4 linked regions of the Caenorhabditis elegans genome follow. The protein of the gene in region 4 interacts with the protein of the main gene of each other region in a pairwise test. Each region holds a gene or a part of one and is shown on either strand. Other genes may lie near its edges.

Region 1 (3,071 bases), on a different chromosome or scaffold from region 4:
GTTTATATGGACTCAAATTGGTTAACTGGGCCAAGTCATTGTCGATTCTTGAAGAGTCAGCAAACAAATGTACACGTGGAACATGGCGCCCAAGAGTTGCATTAATAGAAAGAGCCAATGCAGACTCAGCCATCACTGCGGCCATAACTCGTTCACGTGTACCGAGTTCAGTGGCTGCAAATCGAGTTCTTGTAACCTTTGGAGTAGCGTCTTGATTATGAGGAGGCGCTGGCATATCGTCTTGGTGAACCTAAATTTGATTCTTTCATGAAATTTTGTGTTTTTTTTAAAGCTACTCACAATCCAATGCTCAGATAAATCTTTATATACTCGCCCTTTCTCCAGTGCCGATGGTTCAAGAACATTCGTTTCTGTTTCTTGATTCTGACATGATGTAAATGCAGCCAATGAGCTGGTCAAGTCTATACTTGGTGTGGATGAAAAGAAGAAGAGCGCGAGAGCGGCACCTATAAGGAATCCAAGAAGCAAGTGTATGCCTGTTCGACCGCCGCCGACCATTCTTCGATTCTAAAAAAGGAATAGAGAATTATTAAACTTTTTTTCAAAGCCGGTGAAAAACGTACCAAACAGTCAGCAATACGCCTTGATACAATTCCAATAACGAAGTTTTCTTGTGAAGAAGCTCTGAAAATTTACAATAAGAAAGTGAAGTGAACAAGAGCAAATAGTGATGTTTGAGCATGAATGAGCAGAACACAGGTTAACTGATCAAAGAAAAGCGTGAAAAGACAATACGGGTTTATGAATGAATGCAAAACAGTCGTCATAGAAGATGTGTGTGACAATGCTCGTAAAATGATTGCAGGACATGTGAGTGGAGCGACAACCTTCTTCGGTATGCGATGCAGACGGAAGACAAAAAAAACGAGAAGAGGCTGTGATCGACGCCGACGTTGTAAGAAGGTGTTTGAAGAGATAGTCTTGAGTTGAAAGAGACGCAGACATTATGTTCTGTACTTGACCTGACTAACTAAGGTCATTTTAGAAAATTTAATGTTCGAGGACAGTGAAACCGTTAATAACATGCTATTTTGAGAATGTTTTTCTAATTTCTTAATTTTCAAGATTTTATCTCAATTTTAATTGAATTAGGAAATTAAGTTCGAAATATGACAGATAATTCGTGGGAATAATTAAAATAACATATACATTGGAATTATGAATATCTTTTTAGTAGTTTTAGAATGAACATCTAATAACAATCAAATATAGGAAAATCCGAAATAAGATTTTGAATTTAACGGAATTTTGATAAATTTTATTGGTTTGAATCAATAAAATTGTAGAAATAAAGTGGTTTTTTGCAGTGAAACTTAAAAAATAAAAATAAACCGATGACAAGAGAAAAGCGAGAGAAACACTGAGTAAACTGTGCGGCGTGTTTGCGGAAATCGCGTGCCAGGCTTGCAACAGTGCGCGATTCAACTCCGCCCACAAAAAATGCAATTTTATTTTTGCTTTTCCATATTTAACAGTTGTTTTGAGCCCGTTTTTATTTGTAAAATGTATATACTATGTTTAAATCTTTTCGTTGAACATTTAATATTGAATTTTTAAAAATAACTCATATTTTGCTCAATCGATAAACCAAAATTATAGAAAATGCTTCGTTCACTTTCCACGATCTCCAAGTCTACCGTCCGCTGTATGTCATTGACATCCAAAATGGCTGCTGAGCAACCGAGCAAGCAAGAGGTAAGTTGAAAAACAGCGAATTGTGCAATTATGAAATTTTTGTCTGTTTCAGGTTGATGACTTGTTCGCTGAAAAACCACAACATCATAACCCAGAACAAAGACGGCATGCATACAGGTATGATATGAGTTTTACACAAATGTTAAACTTGCATTTTTCTGAACTAGGAGATTAATAATTTGTATCAAAGTTCCTGCTAGAAAAAATAAAATGTCACAATTTTCAAAAGCACAAACGCAACGATTGACAATAAAAATTACTTATTAAAAAGTCGTTCGAATATTGTTGTAAAATAGCTGTGAAAGATACAATTTCAATTTTGAAAGCATAAAAAAACAAATTTTGAATTCAGATCATATCGATTCAAAATTTATTTATTATCACTATTTCAGTGTGAATAAAGTGGAACTAGTCGGAGGAGTCGCCTTGGATCCATTGTACAAGACTGGAAGGAACGGAAAACCTTACCTCATCTTCAATATCATCACCAACTCGTACTTCAAGCAGCAAGACGGAACTACTCTCGATCAAACTGAACGTCACGCCGTTTCAGTTTTCGGAAAGCAAGCCGAAATCCTTTCAAAAACCATCAAGAAAGGATCCCGTCTTATGGTTCAGGGGAGACTTCATTATTCTGGAGGACAGAAGGACGAACAAGGAAACCGTACACAACGCAACACCTACATCATCGCTCAAACTGTTCAACCATTGGCTCGAGCAGCTAGAGAGAATCCAGATCAACATTAATTTTCAAAATTTTTTAAATATTTAGAATCTCCGATAATAGACCATTGTTGTTGTTTTTGTTGACGAGTTATTTACCTGATTAAACATTATCTCATATTTAAAAAAAAAAGTTTTATTTGATTGCATACCTGGTTTTCTAACCATATTTATTATCTGATCGTTCTTTGAAAGTTCAGCTAAATCAACTTTTGATAAGAATCGGAATTCACTACACTGTCAAAATATTGATTTTTCGTTTTTTCCTCATCATTCCGTCTCTCGCCAGTTGTTCCTCCGAAACAACACAATATCCCTCCCTTTTTCTTGTTTTCTCTCGGGCACTTTGAGCCAATGTTTTAAATTGTTGAAGCAGTTTCACACGATTTAATCGATTTTTTTGTAGAATTGGGAAACCATGAACCGATCTGGACAGCGCTTGATTGTCTCTGCACCTCGGCAGATCGCCTTTTCCACTGCTGTCAGGTATGTGATTGTTTTTTGGTTATGCATTACGTGCAAATAATTATATTTGAAATCATGTTATTTTTTAAAATTTCTATATTCTTCCGAATTGTTTTTTTCCTCCACTATTTTTCTATTGAGATGTTGTTTATCATGTATTCCAAATT
Region 2 (4,602 bases), on a different chromosome or scaffold from region 4:
CCTTTTGTAAGACTACTGTACCTACAAAACCCTATATCATATTCCTCTTTTCTCCCAACACCAACTATCATTTCCTCGTATCGTAGAACCTATTAATATATCAAACACCGTATTTATTCCAATATTCAAACACATTTCCCCGAGAAAATGTCGCGAATTTGTCACGCGTACAAACTTCTGATACAGCAGCGAAAAGAGTGTGACGACTTATCGCCTTCACAGAATGATTGGTATTCCAATTCCGTGTTAATCAAAAGACAATTGCCGCCGTCGAAAAACCCAAGAAAGTGTCAACACTGGATTACTGTAGGATGGGCGTGAAGACTAACGGAAAGAGCAAAGTTTGTGTTGGCTCCATGCTGTTCTGTTACATAACTCAAGTAGATTGACCTCGCGCCAGTTACATAATCATTATCAGCTTGAGATTTATGAAGTGAAAGGTGTCAGTGTGGGGGGACTGACTGGGGCTGTTTGTACTTGGAGCCATTAAAATTTAACGACGTACGGTGTGAGGACTGATAACGGAGGTGATATGTGTGTGTTGACCAATGTGTTGTGTTTGACGCTTGATGAAGCGACACTAATTGGCGAGAATACAGAAGCAGGTAACATTTCATGGAATGCTATAGGACAGAAAGTTTGATGATAGCTGCGCCGAATGATTTGGGCAGATTAGAATCTTAGCACGGAATACTGTACACTGAAAACGAAAAATCCCCTTTCATAGTTACGAAATTTTGTTCAAAAGGGCACACTAACACTATGAAAAAGAAGAAATCAAGTTAAAATACTATTTCAAATTTTAAAAAAGTTTAACGAAAACGATTATTCAGTTCAGCGAAATCGCGGTACCATCTTTTGAATTTTAATTTCGTTTTTGCATTTAATTTCTAGTATTTTCAAGTTACAGACTATGATTGAATTTACCGTTTCAGTCAATAATCTTCATACCTACCGTACTCCTTTTTAACTTCATAACACAATAGAATCTAGCATATTTGTGTATTTCATTACGTGCTCGCTGCCTCTGCTAACTGATAACCAACAAATAGGACCAAACACACTAATACGATAAACTAGGCGCTGGTAATCCCCTTAGTTTTGTCGGCATCTTCCTTTCAACCACCCCACTGTAATACTATTATCAACGTGTCTTTTTTCATCAATTTTATAAGGCTGAAATAAGTCGATGCAGAAGGTGTACAATTCGCCACATTTGATCACCTCCGTCAATTATTTGAAAAAGTGAGCTGTCACCGAACATTGAAAGAAAGAGGAAGGACAAGAAGAGGGACGAGCAAGGTTATTTAGGAAAAAGAAGAATCAATCAAAAGATGGATGACATGAAACACAAGCTAATAAGCGTGTGTAGAGGATATTGGGTAATATGTAACTCAAGGACAATACTACCGAAAAAAAACAACATTTAGATTATGTGGTTACTGTAGTTTCGAGAATTGAATGAGGATTTGTTTTTACCACACGAACCGTAGTTTCTCGATTAGATTCTCGTTGAATTTATTTTCCTATGAGATCTATGAAGAGGAATGTGAAAAAGTTTTCAGTTTTTGGGTCCTGGCACGAAAGAAACTATTCGACTATAGTAACCTCGAGCTATTTGTGTGATTTGAAAGTTAAAAATACGGTATATGGTCTCTACACGACAAGTTTTCGCTAAATGAAAAATGATGTGCGGTTTTACGGGGTACTGTAATTAATTTCAAATTATTGTTTTAAAAATCTATGAATATTCCGCGGCAACTACAGTACTCTTTAACTTGTCGTGTTGAGACCAGTCATCGTTTTTTTGGTACAAAAATCACATAATCTCACGTCTGGAAAATTAAAAAACTTTTTAGAATATTTTCAATATTTTTCATTAATTAGTGTAAAATTATCTACCATACTCTCGGCTACGGTAGCTGGAATATTTCACTCGCATCAGGACCAAATGGTGTTCTAAAAGTCACTTTTTCAAGAGTAGGTAATTAAAAATTTTGAGAAAGAATTTTTGAAACTCAAAAAACATTTTTAATTCAATTTTTGAAGTATATTTTGAATTCACCAAAAGAAACTCACTGAGCAGTTGTCCAATATAATTCGCATTTCGTGCTTTCAACTTATGATCAACACGATCTGGGAAATGGCGGGAAACATTGACAAGCAGACGAGAGGCAACTGACGAATACAAGGCCTGAAAGAAAAACACTTAAAGTCGGGGGATTACGAGTACTTGACACAACTACTACTTATGGTATAAGGTTACCACTCGTTCTTTTTATCCAAAATATTAGTCTTTCTCTATATTCTTATTGTATTTATATTAACCAGAAACGAAATTTCACAATTTTTGCGCAGAAAATACGGTACCCGGTCTCGAAGCGACATTTTTTTTCTTAAATTCAAACGGATGCGCACCTTTAAACACTACTTCAAAATCTCGTTTCTGCGGAATTTTCTTCGTTTTTGAATAAAAATTTGTTTTAAAAAAAAAAATATTTAAACACTGATATTAACAAGTTTGTGAATAAATTTTCGCAGCAAACGAAAGTTTGAAATTACAGTTTTTTGAGGCGCACATATTCTGCATTTTGAAAAGTCGTGGCGAGACCGGGTACCGTATTTTTGGCGCAAAAAACGCAAAATTACGCGTCTATGTAATATTATGAAAGCGTTGAATATTACTTTAAAATTCCCTTACATTAGTAACAACTGCAGTATAAGCAATTTCCACACATTTTGATTTATCCAATACAAAATCAGCGGCTTCAATGGAACCAGAAGTGAAGTTTGTGAGAGCTGCCAGAGTTTCAGTTCGATCCGAAGAAGTTGCTTCACATAACTGACAAATCGCTTTTCCCAGAGCAAAATCTTGAGCTTGGAAGTATTTTCCAGCAGATCCATCGAGCGGTGTACCCAGTTGAGTGACAACTTCCATTGTTTTACGACGAACAATTAATCTGGAATTGGAATTTTCAATTAAGAATAATAACCTCAGTTCTTACGACATAGTCGGTGAGAGGAGCTTCACCAAATCATCGACGCTTACTTCCAGGTCAGTCATCTAGAAATAAATAATTATTTTTAAATTCAGGATTTCATTTCAATTCGTTTTTAAATTTATGTTATATTTCTTCCGATTATCACTTTTTAAATACATTTTTCACACAACGCCTGATTTATTTCTAGAACCCCTTGAGTTTTCTATCTCTAGTATGAACTCAATTCTCTAAACTTCAAATTCCCTGCTAGACTGCAACAAATTTTGACGTCAAAATCAACTTGTCACACCCATAGTCTAGTTAACAATCACTTCAATTCTATTTTACAGTATACCTCATTCGCCCACCCGGGTACGCGTCCTTCTCACCGACAAACATCTCGAATCTTGCAGCTTCAGCGCCAATCCTCACAGTCGGCCACTTCAAAAGTGCGCGAATGTGTAAGGTGGCGGGTTACTGTAAGTCTTTTGCGGTTGAGAGTGAGAAATTGGGGACAAAAAGTCAGGTTGAAGTGTGCTTTTCGGACGTTGCGGCTCGTGTACATCTCACACTTGATGTGCACAAAAGAACGGACACTCCAGATTGAAAAAAACTAGAAAAGGGTTCCTGACTACCGTAATCCAATGGGATATGCATGGTGATTGTTGATGCAACACTACTTTGGAAAACAAACGGTCCAGAGTTACGTCATCTACAAGCAATGGACCACCGGATAATGTGGACAAAGTTGCATAATCAGAGTTGAATATCTGGTTGCTAAGACCGATTAATGCTATTTGGATGTTTATCTCCCCAAATTTCAATGTTGATCAAATAAAACTGAAAACTTGATGGAATAAATATCAAGTTTCATTTTATATTAATTATCTAAATTTGATAAGTTTAAACAATAGGGGAGCTTCACAGTGAAAACCCATACATTTCAAACCCCATGCCACACTTCGTCCACACGGCTGTTCCTAATCCAAGACCTCTTCGTGTCATAAAATATTAGATGTTTCCATTTTCCTGACACAATCCATACCATGGGTGTTTTATACCGCATTACACTTGATAATAAACGAGGTATCAGGTGTGAACAAAATGGTGAGGAATTGCTTATAAATTTGACGGAAGAGAATAGGGAAAAGGATTACTTATTAGTAAAAGCTAAAGGGGATTATTATCTAGATCTAGAGATTCTTCGCATCGAATGATTTTCAACATGCTCTTGAAGGATATGACTGTTATTGCACAACAGAAAACAACATGATATCATCAAACATGTGTTCATGTAATAACATCAAAAGAAGCATTTGGTTGCGAAGCGGAACCATTTTCAGTTTGAATGAAAAATATGAGTTAATCGCACAGATTATGATTTTAAATTGCTTTTTAATTGGTCGTGTAGAATTATCGAATAGGATCTGACTTTTTGACAATTGTATCCGAATACGAGTCTAGAATTCCAATTCCAAGTAAATTCAGAGTTCTCGCTCATTTATCGTAAACAACAGACTGACAGCACACTTTCAGTACAAAAAGCCGCTTTTTTTCAAATCTTCTGATCCGGATGCACAGATTGACCTGTTGCCGTCACCAAACAACATCTTCATCTTCA
Region 3 (3,503 bases), on a different chromosome or scaffold from region 4:
TCCCTTACAGCTTGCTTCGTCGCATCAATTCCTGTAACATCGAATCCACTTCTGGCCAGTGGAATCGACAAAAGACCCCCTCCGCTTCCAACGTCCACTAATCGAGGAGGAGCCTTCTGATCGCTTTTTCTAACATTATCGACAATCCAAGGAACTCGAATCCTGTTTAATGAGTGAAGTGCGTGGAAGGGACCCAGTTCATCAGCCCATTCTGCAGACAAGTCTCCGAATTTTTCGACCTAAAATAATTTTTCTACAGATAAATAGCTTATTTTTATATGTTTTACCTCTTTTACATCAATAGAAGATACTGAAGCGGCTGAAGTAGTCGAGTGTAGTCGTTGTAGCTTTGCGATGATTCTGGCACTTCGTGAAGGGATCATCTACCAGGAAAAATAAAATTCAATCAAAATAAACAAAAAAAATCGAAAAAGAAATAAAATTAGGTCGTAGAACCTGCCAAATCAATTTTTAAGTCAAAAAATCAGATTTTATTCCTTCTAGTATCAGCCGATTCGATTTAAAATACGAGAATTTACTTTACAATTACACATAAAACACTGAAAAATAAAAAATCTATTCCTTTCCGTTGAGGAATTTGGAGAGGAAGTCCTTTGGCTTGGCTTCGACATTTTCAGCGAACAGGTAGTTGCGCACGTGATCCGGGTTGTAGAATGCGTAACGGATCGATTTCATGTGCTGAAAGTGACAATTAGAGTTTAGAAAATTTAAATTTTATTCAAAAACCTGATGAGTTTCTCCGACAAGTCTGTCAACGACACGAACATCGGTGAGATGTCCGTTCTTTGTGAATTGCTTCTTGATGACAGCACGGAACACGCCGAGCGGCATATCATGAAGTCCGAAATCCCACCAGAACTTTGGAGTGAGACGTTGGAACTCCTTATAAGCGGCGAGAACCGACATGCGTGCCTCGGCGGAATTGTTGGATTTGATTGGAGCGACGGTGCGAACGGCGTGTTGTCCGGCACGGACGACTCTTCCGGCAGTTGCAGACATTATTACGAAAGAGTATCTCCTTTGGTGACACGGGCTTCAAGAAATTCGACCTTTCGTTCCAAAAGGTTAAGCTTGTCGCTGAGAGTCGCTAGTTTTGTGCGGCAAGAGAGCTCTGGAAGAAATCAGATATTTTTTAAAGGAATTAATTTAAAATAATAATTTTTCTACAAACCAAAGCTGGACAAGAAGTTAGCGATGTTCTTGATGTTATCGGCAATAATCTGAAAGTTAGTACGGGTTAGTGTGGGAGATATGAATTCACACATGAATATTTGTTGTAAAATTGTATAAAATCACAACCTACTGAAGTGAAAAGCTATTTCAACACCGCAGTTAAAAATATTCAAAAATTTCAACAACCATTTTTAATCAATTTTCATTCACATTTCAATCGATTTCCATCATTTTTTTCCGTCTACTAACCTGCTCAAACTCGCGATTATCCCAGTCGTCCTTTAGTTGTTGTTGAACGGCTTCCGAAGCGTGCATTCAACGCTGAAAAGCTGAAAAACGGTGAAGGATGGTCGCCGGTGTGCCGCGTGCTGCGTAAATCGACACACTCGATCGCGGCGAAACCCGTCCTCGAAACTGCGTGCGCCTTTGATGTCAGCGGTCGTTCGATTGGCTCCTTGTCGCACTGATTTGGCTTTGGATTTCGTAATTTTCGACGGATTTTCGGGATTTTCTATCGATTTTTTGAGAATTTTCAAGGAAATAGACTGATTATTCATTAGTTTTTTCAAAAATTCCATACATTCATTGAGAATGGGTTAGACAAACGTAAATTCAGATTTTAGAAAATCGAGCAAACTGAGCAAAAAACTGTGTCCGCTTGAGAAATTTGTAAAAATTAAGACTATATTCACTGAAAACTCTTATTGCAATCCGATATTATCCAATGAAACTATCTGCTTTTAGCAATTCTATTGTTTTGAAACGTTTCTCTCAAAATTTTATAGACATCACGTGTTTTGTTGACTATTCTCGATGATTCATTGGTTTTGATTTCGTGAAAGTTACTGCAAAATAAATTTTGCGATAAGGAAAATCAATATTTCTACTTGTTTTTTTTTCAACAGCAAAAGCGAGCTTGCTCCAAAATTAATAGCGGTTTTCCGTTAAACCCTTCTGTTTTTCTTTGTGCTCTCTCACACACACACCCTTTTCAATCGAATTGCACTTTTCAGGAATTTCCTCATTCAACATCAATATTCAAGATGTTGGCTATGGTGAATAAGGTTCTCGACTGGATTCGCAGTCTTTTTTGGAAAGAGGAGATGGAGTTGACACTTGTTGGGCTCCAAAACTCTGGAAAAACGACATTTGTCAATGTTATTGCTGTTAGTTTTTCTGGAAAATAAATTTAAATTCAATGTTCTTCACTTTAGAGCGGCCAATTCACAGAAGATATGATCCCAACAGTCGGATTCAATATGCGGAAGATCACCAAAGGCAACGTGACGATCAAATTATGGGATATCGGGGGCCAGCCACGGTTCCGCTCGATGTGGGAACGATATTGCCGCGGTGTCAACGCCATCGTCTTCATGGTGGACGCTGCCGACGAGGAGAAGCTCGAAGCATCCAGAAATGAGCTTATGCAGCTGTTGGACAAGCCACAGCTCGACGCTATTCCAGTTTTGGTGCTCGGAAACAAGAAGGATTTGCCTGGAGCACTTGATGAGCGGCAATTGATCGAAAGAATGAATCTGTCATCAATCCAGAATCGCGAGATTTGCTGCTATTCTATTTCATGCAAAGAGAAGGAGAATATTGGTAATTTTTTAAATCTTTGAACCATTCTAAACTGAATTGTTTTCCAGATATCACCCTCCAATGGCTCATCGATCACTCGAAAGCTCAACGCTAAACTAGGCACAATCCACGACTCAATCTACTCGAAAATTTACAATTCACACCGCAAAATATATTAAATCAAACCTTTTTTTTTTGAAAATTCTGTAGATATTATTTATTTGAATCCCCTCCCCTCCATATTCAACTAATCTCTCTCGTCTTTTTCATCACAATTGTAGTCAATTTCCCCAACCCATTCGCTCCCAGTTTTATTTCTTTGGTAGCTTTCACTGTGGGATGTTCATCATCCCCATTCAAAAGTTGTGAAATTTCCCTCCAATTTTATGTACATGTTGTGTATCACTTTTTTGGACATTTTGCAACACCACTGCAACCATTCTCATTATTTTTTACAAATGTGCTTAATTCCTTAACTCTTCTTCACTCTTTTTCATAAATTGAAAATTTACTAAGGCATTTAGTTAACGTGTTGCTCTAGCATTGCAGCCTAATTTTTAAAATTCTAAAGTTGAATGAAAAAAAAGGAAATCAATTATTCCTTCAGTTTCAAAATTCGAAGCAAGCGATGGAATGTGTGAATTGTGATTGTACAGTCAAAACGATGGACAATTTGGATAAAGCGATTCGGGAACTGTTGCAACGTGGCAAACACGTCAATCGAATGA
Region 4 (6,951 bases):
CAGAATGACCGAGTACGGGCGTTACGTCTTTTTTATCCAACACTATCTGGCAATCTATCGTTTATTAATCCAATAATGCTATTAATGATGAATCGGGATGTTCAGAGCGCGTTTTGTTGCCGGTTTAAGGTAGGTCTCATGGCAGAGAATGGCAGAGAAAAACCTCTTCCACGGCCACGTGTCGATTTACGAAGCTTGTGTACTCGTAGTGGAAAAGTGTGAATTTTTTGTAGAGGATTTTGCAGTACTTTTTTCGCCGAAAATATTCATTTTGCGCAGTTTCGCCAAATTTTTTGTATTCGACGTTAACTGCAAAAATTGACGAAATTAGTGCAAAATCAAAGATTTACGCCCAAAAAAAATTCCCACTTCTCCTCGAGGAGTACACGAGCCGCGTAAATTGACACCGGGCAGTGTACGAATAAAGCTCACCCAAAAAACTGTGTATTTCAGAAATCCCAAAGCACCGTGTCAATGGCGCCCAAAATTGTGCAGTCAAGTACTAGAGATCGATGTTGAGGGAATTTTTATTATAATAAAACTTTATTGATTCAAAATTACTATTAAAATTGACACATACACACGCACGGAGAACCGTAAAACAAATTCAGATCGGGGGAACGAGGGAATGAATATTTTAAAAATTGGGTGCGGGGGACGGGATTTTGCTTTTAAAAAACTCCCGAAAATAGTATGAAAATCATCAAAAATTGTTAAAAAGGGAAGTGTTGATAATTTTGCTAATCTGCGGCGGGAGCTGTTCAGCATAATTCGGGAAAAAAATTCGGAAAAATGAATTCGGATTTTTTTTCCAAACAAAAAAAATATTTTCAGACTATTTTGGGAATTTTGAAGCAATTTTAAAGCCCCGTAATACAAATATAAATTATTCTCCACCAAGCAGAGTCTGCTCATCGAGATCCAATAGTTGACTCGGTGATATCATATCAGTTGGCTCGGCGAGCAGCAGATCCTCCTCAGAGAACTGATTGCAGGCGGCAATGCTAATTTCATCGGACGTTGATTCGATTGTCGAGGAAGTGATGAGATCTTCGGATGAAATGGATGGTCCGGGTCCTGTTGATGGTGCTGAAAATGTCAGTTTCACGTGGTGTCAGAGTGTCTCATTTCGGCTTGATCTACGTAGATCTACAAAAAATGCCGCAGACTTCTCAATTAATTTCGCATGGTTGAGAACGTGCTGACGTCACACTTTTTAGGCAAACAAATCGCGCATTTTTGTGTAGATCAAACCGTGATGGGACAGCCTGACACACACAGACGTAAAATTTTGCACCAAAAGTTCGGTACGTACGGTCTCGACACGACAATTTTTTGCGCCTTTTCTCACTGAATAAAAATTTGTTGTTTCGAGACCGAGTACAGTATTTTTTGCGCCTGATTAATATCTCACCTTCAGTTGTCCCAAAAAGCGGCACAACCATCGCTGGGAGCCGTTCGAACGGCTTTCTCTGATGCCACGTCACAGGTGAATCTACGGGCGGTCCACTAGCCGGCCGAGCCGGGCGTTCGGGCTCTTCATCAAGCCTGATCTTCACTTGAATAGTCTTTTTAAGACCTTCCATCTTCGTTGGATCCGGCCTCATTGGAGTCTTCAGATAGGCTGGAAGTTCCTCGAGATTCTGAACCACTGCATCCTCCTCTTCCTCCATCATTATTTGTTGCTGCTCCTGCTTCAACTTTTCAGCTTTCAAATGCTCAATTTCTTCTTCCATTCTGGACAGCTGCTTCTCGTACGTCGTTTTGATAGTCTCTATGGCAATGTATATTGTTTCCTGGAACTTGTGAAAGTGATTAGAATTTTTCCCATTTTTTCCGGTTTTTTGTCAATTTCCTGCTAAACCTACCACAGTCATCTCATTGTGCACCGCCGGTTTTTCTTGTTTCAATCGTAACTCGAGTTTTTCGATTTTATCATTTGCCGCTTTTAATAAGGTTGCTGATTTGTAGTTTGCCAATCTGATCTCATCTTCTTTCCGGATGAGCTCTTCTTCGATATTTCTTTTGTCAGTGATGCTCGAATTCTCGAGCTGCTGAGAGCTGTCAAGTTCTCGGAGCAGACGTCTGAAATTAGTTTACGGTTTTCTGAAACTTAAACTTTTTTTAAAACTCAAAACTCACTGAATTTCTGCATTGGCCAATTGCAAATCCGCCTCCGCCTTCTTCACATTTAACTGAGCACCTTGCACGAACTTTTGACGGGCTTCCATTCTGAAATCTCGTCTTAAAAATGCGTTCCATTAGAAAAAAAAAATTTTTTTTAATTGTGGTGACAGTTATGAACTCGCGGAGCCGTGGAAGCAAATCCGCAAGTCTTCGAACTTCCCGTACTATTCTCTTGCATCCTTATTAAATCATACCAACCCATTGAAAGGAAAGGCGTAGAGTGCAAGGTGCATGCGGCAGCGGGGGTCGAGCCGAACCCCAGCCGTCTGGCAGTCAAGCGCGTTACCGCCTGCGCCACCAGTGTAACAGCCTCCGTGCTGTCTACTTACTCTTCATGCTGCTGACGATTTTGCGCCACTACCGTCTCGCATTTCGTCTTGAGCGCCGCATTTCGTTCGTTCAGAGCGTTGATTTGTTGGCGAACAATTTCTGATTGATACGTTATTGCTCGGATTTCCTGGAATTTTTTTTTTGGTTTTCAAATTTTCCGTTAAATTATATATAAAAACCTCCTCTTTAGCTTCCGTCGCATTTCTCGCCTGGGTAACATCATCTCGGAGCATCCGATTCGCCACTTCTAGTCCATTAATTCGCTGAAAGTATTATAAACATTTATTGTCCATTTACGCAGGTCGTGTACTCCCCGAGGAGAAGTAAGAATTCATTTTTCGAAAAATTTCACATTTTTTGGCTAAAATTCTTGCTTTTCAACCATTTTTTGCCAGTTTTTGAGAGAATTTTCAGCTCTTACATTTGCCATTTCAACTTTCGAATCATTCATCATTCTCCTCTCGGACATTATCTCGTTACATCGTTTGTTGGCTTGATCTCGTTGGATTTGAGCATTTCTGAGCAAAAAATCGATATATTTTTCAAATTTTCTTGATATTTGCTATAATTCTCCTAAAATATTACACATCAGCAAAAAATGCGACATTCGCGGTCTCGAAACGACAATTTTTGTTAAGTTCGAAAAGGTGTGCGCCTTTAAAAAGTACTGCAGTTTCAAACTCCCATTTTTGCGGAATTTTATCAATTTTTCACGATTCGTAGATATTTAGGTGTTTTTATTGTTCTAAATAATTGAGTTGTTTCAACAAAAAAAATCGCTTTTTATCGAAAAACTGTGAAAAATCAATTTATTTGTAAAAAAACCCCTAAATATTTACGAATCGTGAAAAATCTATGAAAAATTGATAACGAAAGTTTGAAACTACAGTACTCTTTAAAGGCGCACACCGTTAGAATTTAACAAAAATTGTCGTGTCGAGACCGGGTACCGTAGTTTTGACACGAAATTCGAAAAATTTTGCGGCTGCGTAATATTTTCATCAAGCAAAATCACTATCTGAGTAATCATTAAAAAATTCTCGAAAAACAGAAAAAAAAAAGATTTTTCAGCAGAAGCATGGCCTTCCAGAGTCCCTCGTATCTTGAAATGGCAGAGCTGGGAACCTCGGCCGCGGCCATGACCGCGACGCAACTGCTCGCGGAGCGGCTTGTGATTTTTTTTATCATTTTAGCTAATTTTTTTGATGAGCCGCTCCGCGCATGCAGCTGCGTCGCGGTCGTGGCCGCGGTAAAACTCTTCCATTTCAAGGAGCAGAAGAAGCTATTCATGTAATCACCGCAATTCTTGTTGGAGCATTTGACACCGCTGAGCTTCAATTTGTTGACCGCCTTGCGCGGCGTTCAACGCGGCTTTCAGCCGATGAATTTCGGCTTCCAACATATTATTCGTCTGCAAAAGCTGTGACGCCGAGTAGCCCATTGGTTGTGGTTGTACGGTTCCAGGCGGGAGTCTGAAATTTTTGAAAATTGAAACTTTTGGAAAAATCCGATTTTCGGGCAATTTTTCGCGAAATTTTCCTGGTTTTTCCCCTATAAAAATCGAGAAATATGGAATTACAGTAATCCTTTTTGTAATTAAAAATCGATCGTTTCGAGACCTGAATAATAACAAAAAAACCAACCCAAAAGCTGGATTAATATGAATTCCAGCCGTTCCATTCCGTTCGTATGATCTACTGCGGCTCCGTGTACGGGATCGACGCTTGTGTCTATGCTGAAATTATTGATTTTTACGGAAATTTTTGGGACTTTGTGTACTCCTCGTGGAAAATGATATTTTTGCAAGAGGATTTTTTCGATTTTTTCAAAAAAAAATTTTTTGGCTTTTTTTTTGGAGTTTTTAGAAAGCAAATATAGAATTTCTGGAATTTTAAAAAAATTTTTTTTGAATAAATCAACAGATTTTGAGGATTTTTTTCTGGTTTTTTCGATTTCTGGCGTTTTTTGGGAAAAATTACAATTTTTCAATATTTTTAGTAATTTCTCAGCTTTTCTCATCAAAATCCACAAAATTCTGATTTTTCACGGATTTCTGGCTTCCCTCATAAATTGAAATGGACGAGTTTGCCGAACTAGGCCATTCTGGCTCGGCCATATCTGGGGTAGATTTACGGCGCGTTGCGTGTCGCGTCGCGGCTCGTTCTTACTTTTTGCGTTTTTTTTTCGTAAATTTTTTTTTGAATTTAGGATTTTAACAGAAAAATACTTAGAAAAAATCAGCGAAAATTAGCGAAAATGATCCAAAATCAAGAATTCCTGCCAAAAAAAAAACTGAAAAAATCCTCTTTTCCTCGTGGAGTACACGAATCCCGCGTAAATCCACAACCTTCTTATGTCTGCGTCTACTATCTCTATCTCTCGATCCACTACGGCTTCGTCGTCCGCTGTCCATGATAATGACCCGTTTTGTCTGAAAATTTCTGAAAATTTCTTTTCCATTTTTTTCCAACTATTTTGGTGTCAATGATACAATAATGTCAGTCTCTGAGCACTGAAAAAATTCGTCTAAAAATCGCACAAAGAATTCAAAATTTGGGGGAAAAAGTTCAATTCAATCGATATATGGTGTGTATGTGTGTGTGTATGTTTGTGTATATAAATACAAAAAATTCATACAGAGAGAGAGAGAAAGAGGGGGAGAGAGTGAATTTTTTTGTTTCTTCGCAATTTTTGGGACATTTTGAGGAGGAGGGGGATCTTTACAACACTAATATTAAAAAATATTCCATACATTATTTTTGGTATTGATATTTGATACTACTAGAGACAACAGACATACAAAAAAAAATAAAACGGGGCACAAAAAAATGTATATTTAAAAATCTGAAATAGTTCAGTAATATTACCCAGTTGCGGAGAAAATATCGATTTTTGATTAAAAAAGGTCTCGACGCTATCGTGCGCCTTTAAAGGGGTGCTGTAGCAAATTGTTTTTTCGCGGCGAGACCCTAATTTTCCGCCAAAAATCACCATTTGTTCGCAACTCGATAATAGAATTTGGGATACAACAAAAATATTATGAATAGAGAAAAATCTGGAATAAAATATGTGGAAAACGACGACGAGAGAGAGAGAGAAAGGGAAAAGTGGAGAGGGAAAAGAAAAACACGAAGACATGGTGAGCAAAAACACGAATTTTCAGAAAAGAGGGCGAAAAATGGAAGAAATTCAATAAAATTTGGGGGAAAAAAGGAAAAATAATAAAAAAAGAGAAAAATAATATTAATGATGGCGTTTATTTTTTGGTTGGGGTGGGGTGGGTAATGTGTGTGATTTAGCGGGTTTTCGGGGATTTGTGTGTGTACAATTATCGATTGATTTTATTTCAAATAAAATGGTTTCGATCCAGCAGCAGAAGACGAGAGAGTGTGTATAAGAAGGAGACGCAGAGACGGAGAGCATTTTGGAAAAATAGAAGAGGTGCTTATCATCATATATATCACCATTGATATCGAGTTTTTTTTTTTGAAGAAGAAGAATAAGAAATGATTGATAGGAGCTTTATCTGAAAAAATATAGATTTTTTTGGGTCTTGAAGCGATTTTTTTGACGGGAAAAGTATTTTTTCGGCTAAAACTTACGGAAAGTCAATTTTTTTTTCAAAAATTCGATTTTTGAAGCGATTTTTTTTTGACTTAAAAATAAATTTTCCAACCAAAAAAATTCCAGGAATTTTAATTTTTTAAATGTAAGATATTGTGTGTCGATTTACGGTGGTCTTGTGTACTCTCCGAGGAGAAGTTTATTTTCAGTGGGTGTTTCGCTTTAAAAAACTGGATTTTGGACCATTTTCGCAGATTTTTCTAATATTTAGCATTGAAATCGCAATTGTTCGGTTCTTAGGTGAAAAATTGGTGAAAATCACACATTTTAGGATTTTTTTTTCGATTTTTCAGGTTTTTCAGTGTAGAAAAACCAAGAAAAAACTCGAAATTTCTCGCTGAAAAATCTTATTTTTTTTATTGAAAAAAAACTGGCGAATTTGAAATTTTGTTGATTTCAATGAGAAAACCATAATTTAAAAAAAAGAAGTTTTTTTTTGGATTTTTTTACAAAATAATTTATTTTTCGTTTTTTTTTGGAAATAAAATTTTTTAACTGCGAAAATGCTCCAAACCGAGCATTTCAGCCAAAAAAAATGTCCAAAATCGTCAGTTTTAGCTTCTTCTCCTCGGGAAATACACGTAAATCCACATTTCCATGCTCCAAAATTGCTCACTTTTTAGCCGGCGTCGTCGTTTCTGATCCTGTTGACGATTTCTTCACTACAGATGGAGATTTATCACCGCCACCTGCAGTTGCAACTGGCAGTGGCGTCATATTTGGACCGTCCTGAAATTGAATTTTTTTTTAAAAAAAATTATTTACAGAAACAGATTTTTACAGAAAAATCGACACTTTTTGCAAAATTTT

What was found.
Region 1: the proteins of W08G11.3 (region 4) and mtss-1 interact in a two-hybrid assay, tested with the Caenorhabditis elegans proteins (one large-scale study listed by BioGRID).
Region 2: the proteins of W08G11.3 (region 4) and Y54H5A.2 interact in a two-hybrid assay, tested with the Caenorhabditis elegans proteins (one large-scale study listed by BioGRID).
Region 3: the proteins of W08G11.3 (region 4) and Y57G11C.1147 interact in a two-hybrid assay, tested with the Caenorhabditis elegans proteins (one large-scale study listed by BioGRID).

Annotation. Positions count from the first base shown.
Region 1 is NC_003281.10:8,766,691-8,769,761, forward strand, and holds mtss-1 (Single-stranded DNA-binding protein, mitochondrial), read left to right. Parts: upstream 1-1,620; 5' UTR 1,621-1,623; coding exon 1,624-1,716; intron 1,717-1,768; coding exon 1,769-1,833; intron 1,834-2,108; coding exon 2,109-2,463; 3' UTR 2,464-2,553; downstream 2,554-3,071. Other genes in the region: Chondroitin sulfate synthase mig-22, read right to left, coding at 1-250, 301-519.
Region 2 is NC_003281.10:5,146,515-5,151,116, forward strand, and holds the start of Y54H5A.2 (Protein HGH1 homolog), read right to left. Parts: upstream 3,065-4,602; coding exon 3,006-3,064; intron 2,961-3,005; coding exon 2,702-2,960; intron 2,195-2,701; coding exon 2,080-2,194; intron 1-2,079.
Region 3 is NC_003282.8:14,795,942-14,799,444, forward strand, and holds Y57G11C.1147 (Protein BRICK1), read right to left. Parts: upstream 1,574-3,503; 5' UTR 1,510-1,573; coding exon 1,444-1,509; intron 1,242-1,443; coding exon 1,193-1,241; intron 1,133-1,192; coding exon 1,023-1,132; 3' UTR 1,021-1,022; coding exon of another isoform or gene 748-1,020; intron 700-747; coding exon of another isoform or gene 577-699; 3' UTR 501-576; downstream 1-500. Other genes in the region: coq-3 (Ubiquinone biosynthesis O-methyltransferase, mitochondrial), read right to left, coding at 9-239, 288-383; nuo-3 (NADH dehydrogenase [ubiquinone] 1 alpha subcomplex subunit 6), read right to left, coding at 577-699, 748-1,020; arl-8 (ADP-ribosylation factor-like protein 8B), read left to right, coding at 2,238-2,360, 2,409-2,796, 2,844-2,890; Y57G11C.14 (uncharacterized protein), read left to right, coding at 3,404-3,503.
Region 4 is NC_003283.11:16,365,688-16,372,638, reverse strand, and holds W08G11.3 (Trichohyalin), read right to left. Parts: upstream 4,959-6,951; 5' UTR 4,931-4,958; coding exon 4,865-4,930; coding exon of another isoform or gene 4,862-4,864; intron 4,253-4,861; coding exon 4,161-4,252; intron 3,990-4,160; coding exon 3,816-3,989; intron 3,036-3,815; coding exon 2,939-3,035; intron 2,781-2,938; coding exon 2,697-2,780; intron 2,645-2,696; coding exon 2,517-2,644; intron 2,421-2,516; exon of another isoform or gene 2,284-2,420; intron 2,233-2,283; coding exon 2,143-2,232; intron 2,086-2,142; coding exon 1,869-2,085; intron 1,803-1,868; coding exon 1,415-1,802; intron 1,090-1,414; coding exon 887-1,089; 3' UTR 527-886; downstream 1-526. Other genes in the region: srv-34 (G-protein coupled receptors family 1 profile domain-containing protein), read left to right, coding at 4-222; Serine/threonine-protein phosphatase 2A regulatory subunit pptr-1, read right to left, coding at 6,040-6,043, 6,758-6,870.